2 linked regions of the Elephas maximus indicus genome follow. The protein of the gene in region 1 interacts with the protein of each later gene in a pairwise test. Links are inferred from orthologs where the notes say so. Each region holds a gene or a part of one and is shown on either strand. Other genes may lie near its edges.

What was found.
Region 2: the proteins of TXLNA (region 1) and CEP57L1 interact in binary tests that used the Homo sapiens proteins (3 or more experiments, as listed by UniProt). The two-hybrid records come from large-scale screens. The link is inferred for Elephas maximus indicus from reciprocal best matches to the Homo sapiens genes TXLNA and CEP57L1.

What each region holds. Positions count from the first base shown.
Region 1 is NC_064821.1:73,088,214-73,095,904, reverse strand, and holds the start of TXLNA (alpha-taxilin), read right to left. Parts: upstream 3,318-7,691; 5' UTR 3,212-3,317; exon of another isoform or gene 3,146-3,211; intron 2,661-3,145; 5' UTR 2,629-2,660; coding exon 2,451-2,628; intron 1,826-2,450; coding exon 1,487-1,825; intron 185-1,486; coding exon 93-184; intron 1-92. UniProt on the Homo sapiens protein: May be involved in intracellular vesicle traffic and potentially in calcium-dependent exocytosis in neuroendocrine cells.
Region 2 is NC_064819.1:174,987,593-174,995,294, forward strand, and holds the start of CEP57L1 (centrosomal protein CEP57L1), read left to right. Parts: upstream 1-4,344; 5' UTR 4,345-4,695; exon of another isoform or gene 4,696-5,902; intron 5,903-7,702. Other genes in the region: SESN1 (sestrin-1), read right to left, coding at 2,950-3,228. UniProt on the Homo sapiens protein: Centrosomal protein which may be required for microtubule attachment to centrosomes.

The sequences.
Region 1 (7,691 bases):
CACCCATCTGCCTCTGCACTGCAGCCCCAGTCCAGGGGGCCTGCTGACTTTCCAAAGGCAGGGAGGGTATGAGGGGCAGTTTGGGGACTGACCAGTTCAGCATACTTCTTGCACAGCGCTGCCAGCTTCTCCTCTGGGGTACTCAGCGTATTCAATGTCTGCATCAGCAGTGTGATCTCCTTTCCTGCAAAGCAGAGAGCAAAGGTGTGCACACACTTCTCTGGGAGGCCCCAAGCCCCTCCAGGCCTGGGCCCACACTCTTGAACCTTAATACAGCCCTCCCCTACCCTACTTTATATTTCTGCTCGTCAAACTGGCTGCCTTCCCTGCTAGACTACATGCTTCGTGAGGGCCCCAGGACTCTCCCTAGTGCCTGTCACAGGGCACATGCTCAACCGCTGAACAACTGGGCACCTGTGGAATCTTGGTGGGCACCACCGGTGGGAGAGAAAAATGGCCTGCTCTATCACCAGATGAAAGGTGTCCCACCTTGGAGTTCAGTGCTACTGTTTCAATGCAAGGAGGGCCTTTCCAAAAGAGGAAGGATCCAAGAAAGCTAAGTCTCTGGCCTCCCTGAGAATGCACTGAAAATTTCCTGTCAACAGGTAGCCAAATAGTGAATGAGTATAAAACGAGTATATCTTCCACATACGTGATTCGAAAATCTCTTTTTTGTATGTGCTTTAAATGAAAGTTCACAGCTAAAGTTAGTTTCTCAAGTCTAAGATTTTTTAAAATAAATACTCTCTCTTCAAATTAGGGCAACAGCTGAGGGTAGGAAAGTAGGGAGTAGGGCACAGGTATAACATCACCCAACCTCGATCCTTTAATAGCCTGTCAGTCACTACCTTTCCCCGCTGCCTGCACCTGAGTCAGAGAGTTCACTGCTCCCTCCCTGGGGGCCACCTTGCACAGAACAGCACCAGGCTCCTGAGTGTCAGTCTTGGGAGTCTCCAAGAGTTGGGTGTACAGGCTGCAAGTCACTGGCACACAGGCCAAATCCAGCCCATAAACGGGTTTTGCTTGGCTCCTAGTGTTTTAGTTGCCAACAGTTAAAAAAAAAAAAAAAAAACTGGCTGCAGTAAGCCTGCAGCTTTGGCTGCTATCAATTAGCTGGGACCAGGTGGCAGTCAACCTTTGGATGAAACAGGCATTCTCTTGATCCACATGGGTCCCCTGGTTAGCTTGGTTTATGGGGACATTTGAGCTTTTGATCCTGGTCTAGTCTAGTTCTCTTACTAAAAAGAACTGGAAACTAAGGCCCAGACAGGGGAGGGACTTGCCCAAGGTCACACTGTGGTGCTGGCTGGCACGGGAGCCCACCAAGTCTCCTGCTCTCCATTTTCTCAAAGAGCAAGCAGGCTAGATTTCAGCCCCACTTGCTTCTGAAGCCAGGTGCCCTTGTGCAGTGAATGACCTGAACATTTCTATGTTGTGGCCCCACACAGCTGGCTCTGGTTAAACTAAGTAGCTATCCTCTGCTCACCCAGCCCCTTGGCTTTCTTCTTCTCCTGTGGCCTCCGGTGGTCTCGGTCTCCGCCTTCGTCACTCGCCCGGATCTCCTCTGTGCCTGGCTCCCCCTTGGAAGTCTCCTTTTCACCATTGACTACTGGGGTCCCTGGCTCAGGCTCCCCATTCCTTGCAGCATAGCTCCGGGACTTCTCTGCATCTTCAGGTTCGGCGGGCTCACTCTGTGCCCCATCCTCACCTGGGCCCCCCTGATTGTTGTCCACACAGTAAGTACTCAAGATGTCTTCCAGCTGGCGGCTCAGCTCCTCGGACACATCACGGAGGGCCCCAGACTGAGCAGTTTTGGCTTGAGCCCCTACAACAGAATAGGATGAGGTGCACAGTGAGAAATGAGATGGTTATATCACTGGTTGGGGCTCTTCAGGCTCAGCCAGACTCACCGGGTTGGGTTAAACATTGCCTAATCTCTTTAAAGCTCAGTTCATTTCCCTATAAATGGTGTAACTATCCCTCACCACCACCCAATAAGGTTTGCTGTGAGTATAAAGGTATGTAAAGCATTCAACATGGACTAAGCACTTAGCATGAACTCAACTTCTAATCTCCTCCCCTCAAAAGCTGTTCCTTACTATTAAACAAGTTCCAGAAACACCTCAAGTATGGATGGCAGTTACCCACTGGTGACTGAAGTGTCTCCTAAAGGGACGAGGATTTGCTAGTCAGGCCTCTCATTTGACTGCCACCTGGTTTAATCCTGTCAGCCTTCTCTAAAGAGGGTTCTGCTCGTGTTTGGAGCAGGAGGCTATATCAACTCCCCCGGAAAGGGTGGGGAATCACACAGACTCTGCACTGTCCTCCTCTCATTCTACATTTCCTCTTCCCTGGGTAAACTGCTGGCCTCGGCTTCAAACTCCAGCAGCTAAGCAGGAGTACCACAAACTCCTCCCCCTGCCCGATGGAAAAGCAAAGCTGGCACACACCCTCAGGCTTCCCCGGGGCCTGGGTGGTGGAATCTTCAGCTTCGGTTGCAGGAGCAGCCTGGCTGGGCCGCCCCTGAGCTCCCTCTGGTCCCGCTTCCGGTTGCCCTGGGTTGCTTTTTGGGTTGGAAGTGTTGCCTGATGGCTTGGCAGCCCCATTCTTTTTGTCTTGGTTCTTCATTGTGGTTTGCAAGGCTAGATTAAGAGCAAATCCTTCAGAAAGAAACACAGTTGCTATTTTCCAGACTTCGAAAATCTTCGCCGCCCAATGCCAGGCGCACAAAGCTTCTCAAAACAAAAACAAACTGGTTGGCCTCTACCGGGGGGAGCTAACGGTTCTCCCGGTCTCTGCCCGGTCAGGGGAGCCTGGCGTGCCCAGGCTGGTTTTCGGGGCGCTACTCCTAGAACGGGCGAGGACAGAGGCCTCCCTCCTGCCGAAGCCACTTCCCGGCACAACACGGCCCCCTCACGACAGGCCGAGCGCGGGATTGGCTCAGGGCCGAAGACTGACGTGGCGGGATGCTCTATTCCCGAACCCTCCCCCCCGCCCCTAGGACTCACGTGGGCTCCGCGAGCGCGCGCGCGCGCAGCCACCCACGCCCCGCGCGCCCTCCAGCCGCGCGCGCGCATGCGCAAGGCCATAACCCGCCTCCCCGCCCTAGCCCACGCACGAAATCGGCGCGACTGCCCCCACTTGCCGAAAGTATCCAGGCATACAGGGAGCACCCTGATCGTCTCGTCCCGCTAGCTGCAGCAGCACGTACCTCGCCGCCGACGTACCGACGGCTTCACCCGCTCTGGCCGCGCACCGGAAACCCTGGGCAACCGCTTTCGGCAGAGCGGCCCGCTCTCGTCGCAGCCAATCAATAGCCCGCGCTCTCGCGAAGCTTGCTGGGAAAGCTGAGGCGATGGCGGCCTTTGAGGCGGGTAATTGGGAAGGCGGGGGAGGGAAGGGACTACATGTCCCTCCATGCATCGGGGCTAGCTGTCCACAACTCCCAAGATGCAAGGGAAAGGGCTTCGTTCTGGCAGCCGGGTACCCTGTAGGTCCGGAAGGAGCCAGTTACTATGCATAAATACCTAGAGTAACCTCATTATCATTCAGAAGCTGTGATTCAGTACCCAGGCTTTGCTCCTGGCTATTCTTTCCTGCACGCCACCACCCTCTCACCCCACATTGTGAAATTCTATGCCTCTTATTTTTAGTATCTGGGGGACTCTGAGGCCTCTCGACGAGCGATGGATTCTTGAGTCGAGAGACCTGTATTCCAGTTCTGACGTCATCACTGATTTGTAGTATGACTGGGCATTCTTTTCTCTCTCTGGGCCTCAATTTCCTTTTTTCAAATGGAGGCTTTTAATAATAGCAATAACAGGTTATTGGGTGCCTGCCATATGGTTAATCCTCATAACTACTCATCGAGACAAGTACTATTGTTATTTCCCATTTCCTCATGAGAACAGTAAGGCAAAGGTTAGATAACTTGTCTAAGGTCACACTGCTAAAGAGTGGTTAGAGCAGGGATTCAAAACCAGGAAGTCTGGCACCAGGCCACCGTACTAACTACTCTGCCATGCTTTCCCTTAGGATGAGTCGAGGTGACTTATTTTTTTCCCACTCCTCATCACCAGTTGGAAACCCTGGTGGCCTAGTGGTTAAGAGCTGCTAACCAAAAAAGTCGGCAGTTCTCCTGTGTCCTATAGGGTCGCTATGAGTCCGAGTTGACTCGAAAGCAACATTTTTTTTTTTTCCATCACCAGTGTGGCAACTAGTCTCTTTGGAAAGGGCTGAGGACACCCTGCAGGGAGAGCTTGGCCTCAGACAAAGATTCCCAAGCCTTTTTCTCTGACAGGCCAACCCTACGCAGGCCACTTCATCACACCATCTGACTAGACTGACAAAGTCCCAGTGGCACTGGGGCTAAAGCTGGGGGGGGGGAACCCCAAGCTTCTCTCCAAATATGGAATCACAATTCGTTATCCCTGCTACCTACAGATAATGGAATAAAGGCCAATAATCCTTGCGCCTGGAGCTGAAAGCCTAGACGATTTGGCTTCTTCTGTTTTCAGCCAATCCTCCCCATCCCCACTCTCGTTTTTGCTTCAACTGTACTTTTACTCTTTCCAGCATTTCTCAGGTTTTTGCAGATCCTATTTCCTCTTTTGAGGCCCAGCTCAAAAGCCTCTTTAGAGCCTTCCCAATGCTCTGCAATCTGTCCTAGCTCCCTACGTCTAGATAGAGTTCTATTACAGCGTTATCACCAAGGTGTTGATACTATTTGCTTGCAAGTCAAAGAATACTGTGGGGAATTGTTAGCTAAATTCTCTTGTCCCAAAGGCTAGCACTTGGTGAAGGCAGAGAATGGTTTTAAGTTGTTCAAATTGAGCATTGTTTGGGGGCTGTTAAGATGTTAAGTATTTCCCCCAAAAGTTAAGGAGACCATAGGGCAGAGAGCTCTGTTTAGTGGCTCCAGACATCAAGGTTTGCCTTTACCAGGTAACACTGAGAGGCAATACGGTATAATTGTGTGATGAAGGAACTGAGAAGCTAGGATTTGGAATCCAGGTCTCTTGAAATGAAGGCCTCATTTCCGGAAAAGCATGTTAGAAATCCCTTGAGGAGGTTACATTATCAATAAGGCCTTGAAGTTCTAGGAAAAAGAAAATAAGAACAGGCTTAAATGGAGTGAGGGGTGGAGGGTATAGCAGAAAGGTCAACACTGGCCTCCAGGGACCAGACGGGTAATAAGAGTAGATAGAGCAGGCACCACGGAACAAGAAAAATAGAAACATGGGTTTAAAAAGTCACTTTCTCAGGTATAAAAGAAATATGGCAATGAGTCAGGGAGACAACTAGTATGGTAGTGATTACGGTAGAGAGGTCCTTGCAGATTGTTGCCAAGCAGAAACTTAGGCCCAGTTATGCCAGATATTCAGTGTTTTTCAAGACAGCTATTTCTTGATTTTTTAATGTTGTTAACTAATTAAAACTTAAAACTCACTATCAGCCAAATAAGACCTTCCTTTTGGGCGAAATCAAATTGTTGGCTTCTTGTCTAATTTGTGTTAGGAATTGCTCTAAGCTGAAGTGAGGAGTTTGTGAACTGTATGACCTCAACTTTTATGAGAACATTTCTTCACTGGCAAAATGGGGACAATATTCAGTTAGCTTGTAAGACTCGAAACAATGTCAAGATCCTTTATAGCAACTCTAGAAAATGCGAACTGATCTATAATGACTATAGAATGCAGGTTAGTGCTGGGGCACAGTGAAACTTATGGGGGTGACGGGTATATTCACTATCTTAATTGTGGTGATGGTTTCACGAGTGCATGTATATAAAAAATTATCAAATTGTACACTTTAAATAGGTGTAGTTTATTGTATGTCAATTATACGTCAATAAAGTTGTTAAAAAAAACAAAACAAACCTTTTATAGCAGGAGCAGGCTGCAGCGATTTTTATTTCTATTAGACTAACAAGTTTAAATACCCTTTCCTCATTCACCTCCAAATAATCCAGCCTAGGTTCACTCCAAACCAAAAGAGACGATTTAGAACTTTGCAACAGGTTTTTATTTTTTGCTTTATATCTATTATTACAGTGTTTGAAACCTAAAGAAATACATTTCTCTTCAAATTTGGATGTGTATATAAATATCATTTGTCTGGACTCAGCACACTCAATGCCATGGTTTCTTGGCCTATGTCTGCTCTAAAATCATCAAGCTGTGTCTGTCTACCCAGGGGCCCTGAGAACATGGAAAATAGCCAGAGAGTTTATGGTTCTTGGAAAAATAAAAACAAATGAATTAGGAAAGAAATACCAGTAAGGAGGAGAAGGGCTGGATTCACCTTTCTAGGGTCTGTAGCTGGGAACCAACCTGTTTTGGGGGACATCTGCTTTGCTGGATGGTTGGGGTCCTATACCTCCTTTTCCTTCTCTAGTGATAAAATCAAAGGCAGTTTCCACAAAAGCTGGATAAAGAAGCCAATACCCAACTCCAGGGCCTGAGGATGCTAAGGACATCCTCTGAGGCAGAGGTTCCTAGTCAGTCTCAGGGCCTCTTAGGTATGCCTTCCTTTACTGCCCCAGAGCATGCAGACAGTTTTCTCTCCCTAAGCCCAGGGGCTGAAAATCTGACCCGCTTAGGGGAGTAGGGCTAGCTTTCAACAGAGGGGTTCAGGTAGTGCTAATGTGGACATAAGAAGTCAGGCTGGCCCAGAAGTAGCCAGGTAGGCCCAAAACCTTTATAGCATACTATGCAAACCTCTCTCCCAGAGTGTCTGGGCCCCAAATTTAAGTCAGTAACTCTCAAAGCCAGTTTTGGTTCTGCACATAGCCCAGATCTAATGCAAAATGCCCTCAGAGGAAAAATAACAGCTTTAATACATAAAGTTGGTTAGTCTTGACTTCAGTTTCCTCCCCTGCCATGGTCTTATCTGGGGTAGGGCTAAGGGATAGGCAATGGGATGACTGAGTCATTACCAAGGCCTTGGCCAAAGAGCATCTAGTGTCTGCCACATGGATCCCTGTAGGGCCAATTCTCGCTTGGGGGCTTAACAAAAGAATTTAAAAGCTAAGACACAGAAAAAATACTGGATAAGGTTGGTCTAGAATGTGCAATCCTAAAACAGCTGTGGAAGAAAACTACTCTGAGCAGTTTCATTCCCACACTCGTGCACTCCTGGAGTAGTCCTGGCCTGGAACATATTGCCACTGGTTATGAACATTTCTTTCCTATGGTTCAGCATCCTGAGCCTTGTAACCCTCCCCCAGGCTGCCAGGGAGGCCGGCAGGCAGGCACATTCAAAGAAAGGCTTTTTTCCTCCATTGCCCTTGTACAGAGGATAGAAGCAATTTTTTAAGGAACTACTTTGTACACCTAAAGCAATGTCTCTGACATTAGGCTGGCCCCCAGCTGGGCTGTTCTCCTTATGACCCTGCAGTGCCTGCAGGGACCTGGAAAATAGGAGAATCTAGAATCTGAGCCCATAAGATGACTCCATGGAGGAATGCCTAAGATGATGAGTGAGTCTAGGGGAGGAGAGGAGGCCTGAGGAAATGAGGGTGGCCTTCAAAGAGGGACCTGGGTTGAGGAAGGAATTATTGCTAGGCTTTCATCTCCTTCCCTTCTAGTTAGCTAGAACACGGATAGCTCTAGGGTGCAGGGGGAAGGAAAGCAAAAAGGAGAATATGGAAATCCAGTTCATTCTGGTAGATGGTTTTAATTTTAAACTGG
Region 2 (7,702 bases), on another chromosome or scaffold:
AGTTCTTAGAATGACATTTACCAGAGATTCAATAAATATTTGTTGAATGAATGATGTAGGCACAGAAACTCACTAATCTGTTAACTTCATCTACTGAGACTGATAAGAAACAAAAAGAAGCCAAATACAGGTTTGTTCATCCACTAAATATTTATTTAGTAGCTTTCAGGTCTCAGCCAATACTCTTGAGAACTCACAGCCCTGACTGGAAAGACAGACACATAAGCATGTGATTACCCCATAATAACGAAAGCATCTATTATAATTGTGGCAGGAATAAGGTGCAATAAATACAAAGATGAAAAAAAGAGTATAAATCTATAGGAAACCTTCACAGTAGAAGAGACTCTTGAATCTTTTTCAAGGATTAATGAGTCTTAAAATAAATATCATATAGTTCATGCATTTTACTTAAGAAAAGGGAAAGGAGCATCTACCATATGCTGGGGCACTTTACATCTCATTTAATTCTCACTATTTTTTTTTTTTTGCTCTATATTGTTATTCCTGTTTCACAGATGTGGAATTCCAAGTTAAGGGAGGTCAAGTAACTTGCTCAAGATTACATAGTACATTAATGTTGTATCTCGTTGAGTTGATTTCAACTCATAGTGACTCTATAAGACAACTGCCCCACACGGTTTCCAGGGCTGTAATCTTTACAGAAGCAGATTGACACATCTTTCTCCTGCAGAGCAGTTGGTGGCTTCGATCTGCTAACCGAAAAGTTAGCAGCCGAGTACTTAACCATGGTGCCACCAGGGTTCCTTAGTACAATAAAAAAAACAAACAAAAAAAAACCTATTGCCATCAAGTTGATTCTGACTCACAGCGAAAGTAGCAGAATTTGAGACTAGGTATGTCTGACTCTGGAAACCCTGGTGGTGCAGTGGTTAAGTGCTACGGCTGCTAACCAAAGGTAAGCAGTTCAAATCCGCCAGGCGCTCCTTGGAAACTCTATGGGGCAGTTCTGCTCTGTCCTATAGGGTCACTATGAGTTGGAATCGACTCGACGGCACTGGGCTTGGTTTGGTTTTTGGTATGTCTGACTCTAGTACCCATTAAAAAAAAAAATTACTGTTTAGTCATTTCTCACTAATGGCAACCCCATGTGTGTCAGAGTAGAACTGTGCTCCATAGGGTTTTCAATGGCTGATTTTTCAGAAACAGACTGCCAGGCCTTTCTTCAGGGGCTCCTTTGGGTAGGCTCCAACCTCCAACCTTTCGTTTAGCAGCCGAGCTTGTTGACAGTTTCCACCACCCAGGGACTCTGGTACTCACTTACCACTACATATCACAGATCTTTGGCCCTGTACTCCCTTCAGAACCTACATATTTCTATTTTCCAAATAACTCTTAACAAAACTGATTATCTGGTTTCCCAGCCTAATAATATAAATATGCGGGAAAATGATTCAGGAAAAGACCAAAGTGAAGTATGCAGACAGAAAGAGAAGGCACTGAAAAACTTTAAAAATTCAAAAAATATATCAAGATGGCATTTCTCAGTGTAGGGTCATACAGTCCTATACACCCCACCTTCTGTTTTACAACAGTGCTTGGTGTGCATCATGATGAGCCCATTACAAAAAAAAAAAAAAGGTTGTTTCATCACTACAGTCTAGGGCCAGAGAAATAACTTTTGATGCCTAAGAGGGTAGACTTTAGGTATCTAGAAAATTAATTTCTCTGTGGTACCTCTGGACAAATAAATTACAATGATTGTTTCCAAATTGTTCTTGGGAAGAAATATTCCAAGATCTACATAGAGTCTTAATTTTATGGAAATGATTATTTTTCTGCTGCTTTAAACTAAATTCAAGCCAGTATAGAAAACTGTTCATCTTAGTTTACATATAACCAAAAACCAAACCCACTGCTGTTGAGTCGATTCTGACACATAGCGACCCTATAGGACTGAGTAGAGCTGCCCCATAGAGTTTCCAAGGAGCGCCTGGTGGATTCGAACTGCTGACCTTTTGGTTAGCAGCCGTAGCACTTAACCACACACCACCAGGGCTTCCTAGTTTACATATATCCAAGTAAATTATAAATTTAAAAAATTTTTCATAGTATGACTTTGAAGAACACCTGTGGATTAAGTAACTTATAGATTGACAAACATATATAAACAACATTACCGAACATTCTTAGTATCTAAAGGCAACCTTTTGCAAAAAAAAATTCTAATAAATAATGTACGAAATGGGGAAAACTAAATATTTTTAATCTGCTGCACTCACAATTTAAATAAATATGTATGTGAAAAATAAACAAAACATGCAGGCAAATACAGAGAAAGTTGGCTGAGTAATTTACCATAAAAGTGTTCCCATCATATATCCTGCCTGGGTTTTGAATTCCTTTATAACATGGGCTTTAATTTTTTTTTTATATAATTCTTTTTAAAAAAGGAAAGCTTACATTTAGAGAACACACCCTGTGTTTTGTTTGTTTTGTTTTTAAGAACAAGAGAAAATTGTTTCAGCAATTATCCTGAACAAGCAGACTAGGAAACATTGAATATCCTCTTATCATTTTGAAGGTTTTTATATGGGACACTTCCCACCCAGAACACTGTTTGTAACAATGGGAAAAGTACACTGGCTCTGCTTCACAACAACGTGAAAAAGTTAATATCAGGAAAAGCCAAGTCTTTACTTGCAATTAACTGTAACTATCACACACACAAAATTTTTTTTTATCACATATATTTGAGGAATGCAGTTTCTGCCTAAAACTCTCTAGAAAGACAATACTTTGTTTACTTATATTTGAAAATTGCTTTTTACTTTAGTTCATTTTTTTCCAATTTTAACCCAAAACTCTATTTTAAGATGATTAGAGTTTACATCATGACGACGTATTAGAAGTAAACACAAAGTGAATAACTGCAAGTAAAATTTTGGTGTACTAGATAGACGGCATTATTTATAAAGCTTTCCTTACCTGGACGCTCTTCAGAATAAACTCACTTTTCTCTCTTACATCTTTAAAAGGACACCTCTTAGAAAGCATGAGCAGATGAGCAAGAAGTTTATTCAACCCATCCGAAGAAACAGCATTTGAAAGCTCGTGTGACGGACGATGTGGTGTCTCTTTAACGGAACGAAAATACTCGGTTTTCCTCAAAATTATTTGCCTAATGTTTTCCAGTGCTATCTCTCTGGTACTTGAATCTCTACTGCACAGTCCATCCCATCTCATTTCATTCTCTCCTTCAGCCATGTCAACTTGGAGCTTTTCTTTTTCAATCTTCAGTTACCTTTCACCATGTCTGCAAAAGCAGTTTTTATTTTTTAAATCAGAAATGTAAGAGTAAAATCAGAGAAATCGAATCGTCAAGAAAACGCACGTTCGGGTGACATTTGGAACCGGTTGTCTCTTATACGGATGATTTCCACCGAGTTACAAAACAGAGCTCACCCTCTGGTTCTACACTGGTCAAAGACTGAAGGGAAAAAAAGTTGGAAGGTTGCAACCTTACGGCGCTGGCTGTGCTGGAGAGGGACTCTCGGGGAAGTGCTGTCCTTCGTCTCGCGGGGTCAGCGGATATCCTCACGACGTGGAGCTGTCAAATCCGTGCTATGCCCAGAAAGGCTGGTACCAGTTGAACACTCTCCAGTCATTCGGGGGTTTTTGTCAGTGCAGGCACGGCGGTCACCGGAGCGTTCCCACCCCGCCTCTCCGGCACCAGTCCCCGCCCTCCGCAGCTCCTCCTTGTGCCCCAGCGGCCCGCTGACCGCCAGCGGGGACGACTCGCCGAGCCCTGGCCCACGGGCCGCGGCGGTCGGAGACTTGAGCGCTCCAGGGGGCGGGTGTCTTCTGCAGATGCAGTCTCCGAGGCAGTACTGGAGGAGAGCGCCCTCGGCCCCGCCGATTCCCGACCCTCAGGAAGACGCCGCTTCTTCTCCGATCCCTGCGCCCTTGCCCACCGCCCGCCAAGCCAGACCAGCACAGGGTTGCCCCGCACCGGGCTGGGCCGCAGAGCTGGCGGTGCGGCAGAGCCCCAGGCACAGAACCCGCCCCTTCGTCCAGCCCCATCGGTGGGGATCGGCCCAAAGGGCGGGAGCAAGGAGGGGAGATGGGGTCCTCACCCCCAGCCCCTCCCCTTTCTCCGCCCGGCACAAACCAGGAGCCGCCCCTGCCCCTGCGCCCTCTTCCCCGCCCAGGCAGACGCGACCCGCGAAGGCAAAAAAAAGCCATTGGAAAAAGCCCCGCCCTTCGCCCTGCTACCTCCGGACCCCAAGCCCGCGCGCGGCCGCCAACGGCTGCCGGTTCTTACGCATGCGTAACCTCAAGGACGGTGCATGCGCCTTAAAGGCACTTAGCTTCTTCACGGTTCGTTTTCTGTTGTCAGACGTTTGGTGTTGGAGTGGAGAAAGGGGAAAAAATTAAGTACGCTGAAACTTTATCAAAGACAAGCAGGGTAAAGAAAGACGACACGGAGCACTCCTGGAAGAAACAGGCTAAATTTAAGATTTGTCTAAAAATAGTAACGGCCTCTTTATTAGCCCGAACCCCGATTTAAGGAGGCAGGGTGTCCTCGCGTTGACTTCTGGGAAACGTAGTTTTTATTCTGCGGGTGTTTTGTTTGCGACAGAAACTACAACCCCCAGGGACCACCGCGACTTTGCCTGTGGCGGCCTACAAGCCAACGGTTAGGCAGCGCGGATTGACTGGATCGTCGGCTTGGTGAGCACTGTAGGCTTGGCTGCTTTCTTTCCTGGCTTTCTTTGACAAGATTTTTTTTTTTTCTTCCTCCTTTTTCCTCTGGGGTTTTGGAGACGAAGCCATCCAAGGCTGCTGCTCAGACAGTCCAGGGACTTTTTCCAGTGACCTGAGTAAGAAGTACTAGTCCAGGTGTCTAAGCTCCTGCGCGTGGTGAGGCGAGAATTTGGAGGTCGCGATCCCGAAGTTGGGAGTGAGCGGCCTTCTTTAAGATGCAAAAAGGATGAAATGAAAACGGATGCTCCGCGCAGCTGTCCCTGCGTTTGCCCTCTGTAGTGAACATGCGCGGGATGAATCAGACACCCCCGTGCAATTGAGCGGAAACCCTGGTGGCGTAGTAGTTAAGTGCTACGGCTGCTGTCCTAGAGGTCGGCAGTTCGAATCCACCGGGCGCTCCTTGGAAACTCTATGGGGCAGTTCTACTCTGTCCTGTAGGGTCGCTATGGGTCGGAATCGACTCGATGGCAATGGGTTTGGTTTTGGGTGCATTCGAGCCTAAGCTTACCTCTGTGTAGAGATAGTCTTCAAATGAATCCCAAGTAGGGCATTGAAAGCGACTTGTGAAATCCGTTTCGAATGAGACTAAAAGAAAAACAATCTCCAACATTCGTAGATGATAAGAATTCTTGCAGGCTTTAACGAGACCATATGGGGGGAAAAAAGACCATATTTAAAAAGTCATGCCACTTGAGAAAAGTCGGGGTTTGAAAGCCCATCAATGAACTGATAAGATTAGAATTAATTTTTCACGTTGCAGAACAGATCCAGTTCTAAAAATTTAACATTGTAGGCACGGTCTAAACAGTGAAAGAGACACAGTCCCTACCTAAACAAAAACAGAACTATGTAATAGTGTTATCTTTGGAGTGTCTAGAAAGAGGGCCACCCAGCCAAGTCTTGGAAGTCGAAAACCAAACCAAACCCACTGCTGTTGAAACGATTCTGACTCATAGCGACCCCATAGGGATAGGGTTTCTGAGGCTGTACATCTCTACGGAAACCAACTGCCACATCATTCTTCCAAGCTGCTGCTGGTGGTTTCCAACCTCTGGCCTTTGGGTTAGCAGCCGATGGCTTTAACCACTGCGCCACCAAGGTGCAGTGGAGTCTCTTTCCCAGGGGAATTGGGGGCCAAAGAAAGAGCATATGCTGAAGCCCAGAAGCGAGAGAGGTATGGAACTTTAAAGAAACTGCAATAAGCCAAATCACATAATTTGGGAGGGATGGCTTTTTGTATATTGATATATTTTGAAGCTGCAGAAAGACAGGTACTGTAAAATTTTCAGGTAGTTTCTCAAAGTGACCAATGAGTTGGTGTAATTTGGCAAGCCTGGAAGGATTCTAATGCTACTGGTTTAAATCAGAATAAAAATGGTTATAGCTATTATTTTAAGTGTGATTTTAAAAACAAAAAAACATTGCTTTTTTTGTGGGCTCATCCTTCTTTACCCAGCCCACAAAGGGTAAGGTGGTTTCTCAAGGCTAGCTTCCCTTTTCACTCCATAGTTGAATATGATCTCAACCATATGCATGGATTCACCAGTACCTATTTATTGCAGATGACGTCCAAATGTTTTTGGTTTTTGGTTTCCAAATGTATAGCTCCATCCAGGTTCACCTCTCAGCTTTCGTATATCCAGTTATCTCCTTAATATTTTTTCTCACGTATCTTAAAAGCACTTCAAACTCAGCATGCTTAAAACCAAATACACAGTTATTCCCTGTGAATCTGGTTTCCTTCCAGTGTTCCCTATCTTAGTAAAGGCCACTACCATCCATTCACTTGTGAAAATTTGAAAGCTAAGCATCATCCTTCATTCCTTCCTGTTGTTCATATCTCTATAGCGAAATTGTTAGCAAGTTCTGTCAATCTTATCTTCCAGATATCCCTCAAATCCACCCATTTCTCTCTGCTTTCAAAAAAACCAAACCCAGTGCTGTCGAGTCATTTCTGACTCAGAGAGACCCTATAGGACAGAGTAGAACTGCCCCGTAGAGTTTCCAAGGAACCCCTGGCAGATTTGAACTGCCTTCCCTATCTGCTTTAGCACCATCCAAATACTTGTTGAATACCTACTATATAACAGGACCCAGGGAATATAGCTCTGACAGCAGCAGAGTGTAGTGGCCTAGAAGCCAAGTGAAAGTGTTTGCCTTCTGCCAGAGAGCTTGCATTCTACTAGGGAGAGACAGACAATACATAAATATGTGAATGTATAGTGAATCAAATGAAGAAGACAAATGCTTTGAAGAAAAAACTTGAGAAGGGGAATAGGGAGTGTTGGGTTGTGGGGGTGGGGCTCACTTTTAAATAAGGTAATCAGAGAAGACCTAACCAAGAAGGAGGCATCTGAGGGGATCTGAAGATGCTAGGGGGAAGAACATTCAGGTGAAGAGAACAGCCAATGCAAAGGCCTGTGGGCAGGAGCATGCCTACACATTTGAGTTGTTAGCTGCCATGGAGTCAGCCCAGACTCATGGAAACCCCATGCATGACAGAACAAAACACTCGGTCCTGCATCATATCCATCATCAGTTGTGGATTGAACCATCATGATCTGTGGGGTTTTTATTGGCTGGTTTTCAGAAGTAGATTGGCAGGCCATTCTTCCTAGTTCATCTTAATCAGAAAGCTCCACGGAAACGTGTTCAGCATCATAGCAACACATAAGCCTCCACAGACAGACTGATGGTGGCTATGCATGAGGTGCATTGGCTGGAAATAGGATCAAGTCTTCTGCATGGAAGGTGAGAATTCTGCCACTGAACCATCAATGCCCCTTCCTCATGCACATTTGAGAAAGGAGACAAATGTGGCTGGAACATGATGAGAACAGGAAATGCAGCAACACACGGTCTCAGAAGAAGAGGGTAGTGGTAGGAGATGATGTACGTGATTGAAAGGACATTGGCTTTTTGGTTGAGATGGGAAGCCATTGGACAGTTTTAAGCAAATGAGGGCACAATCCAA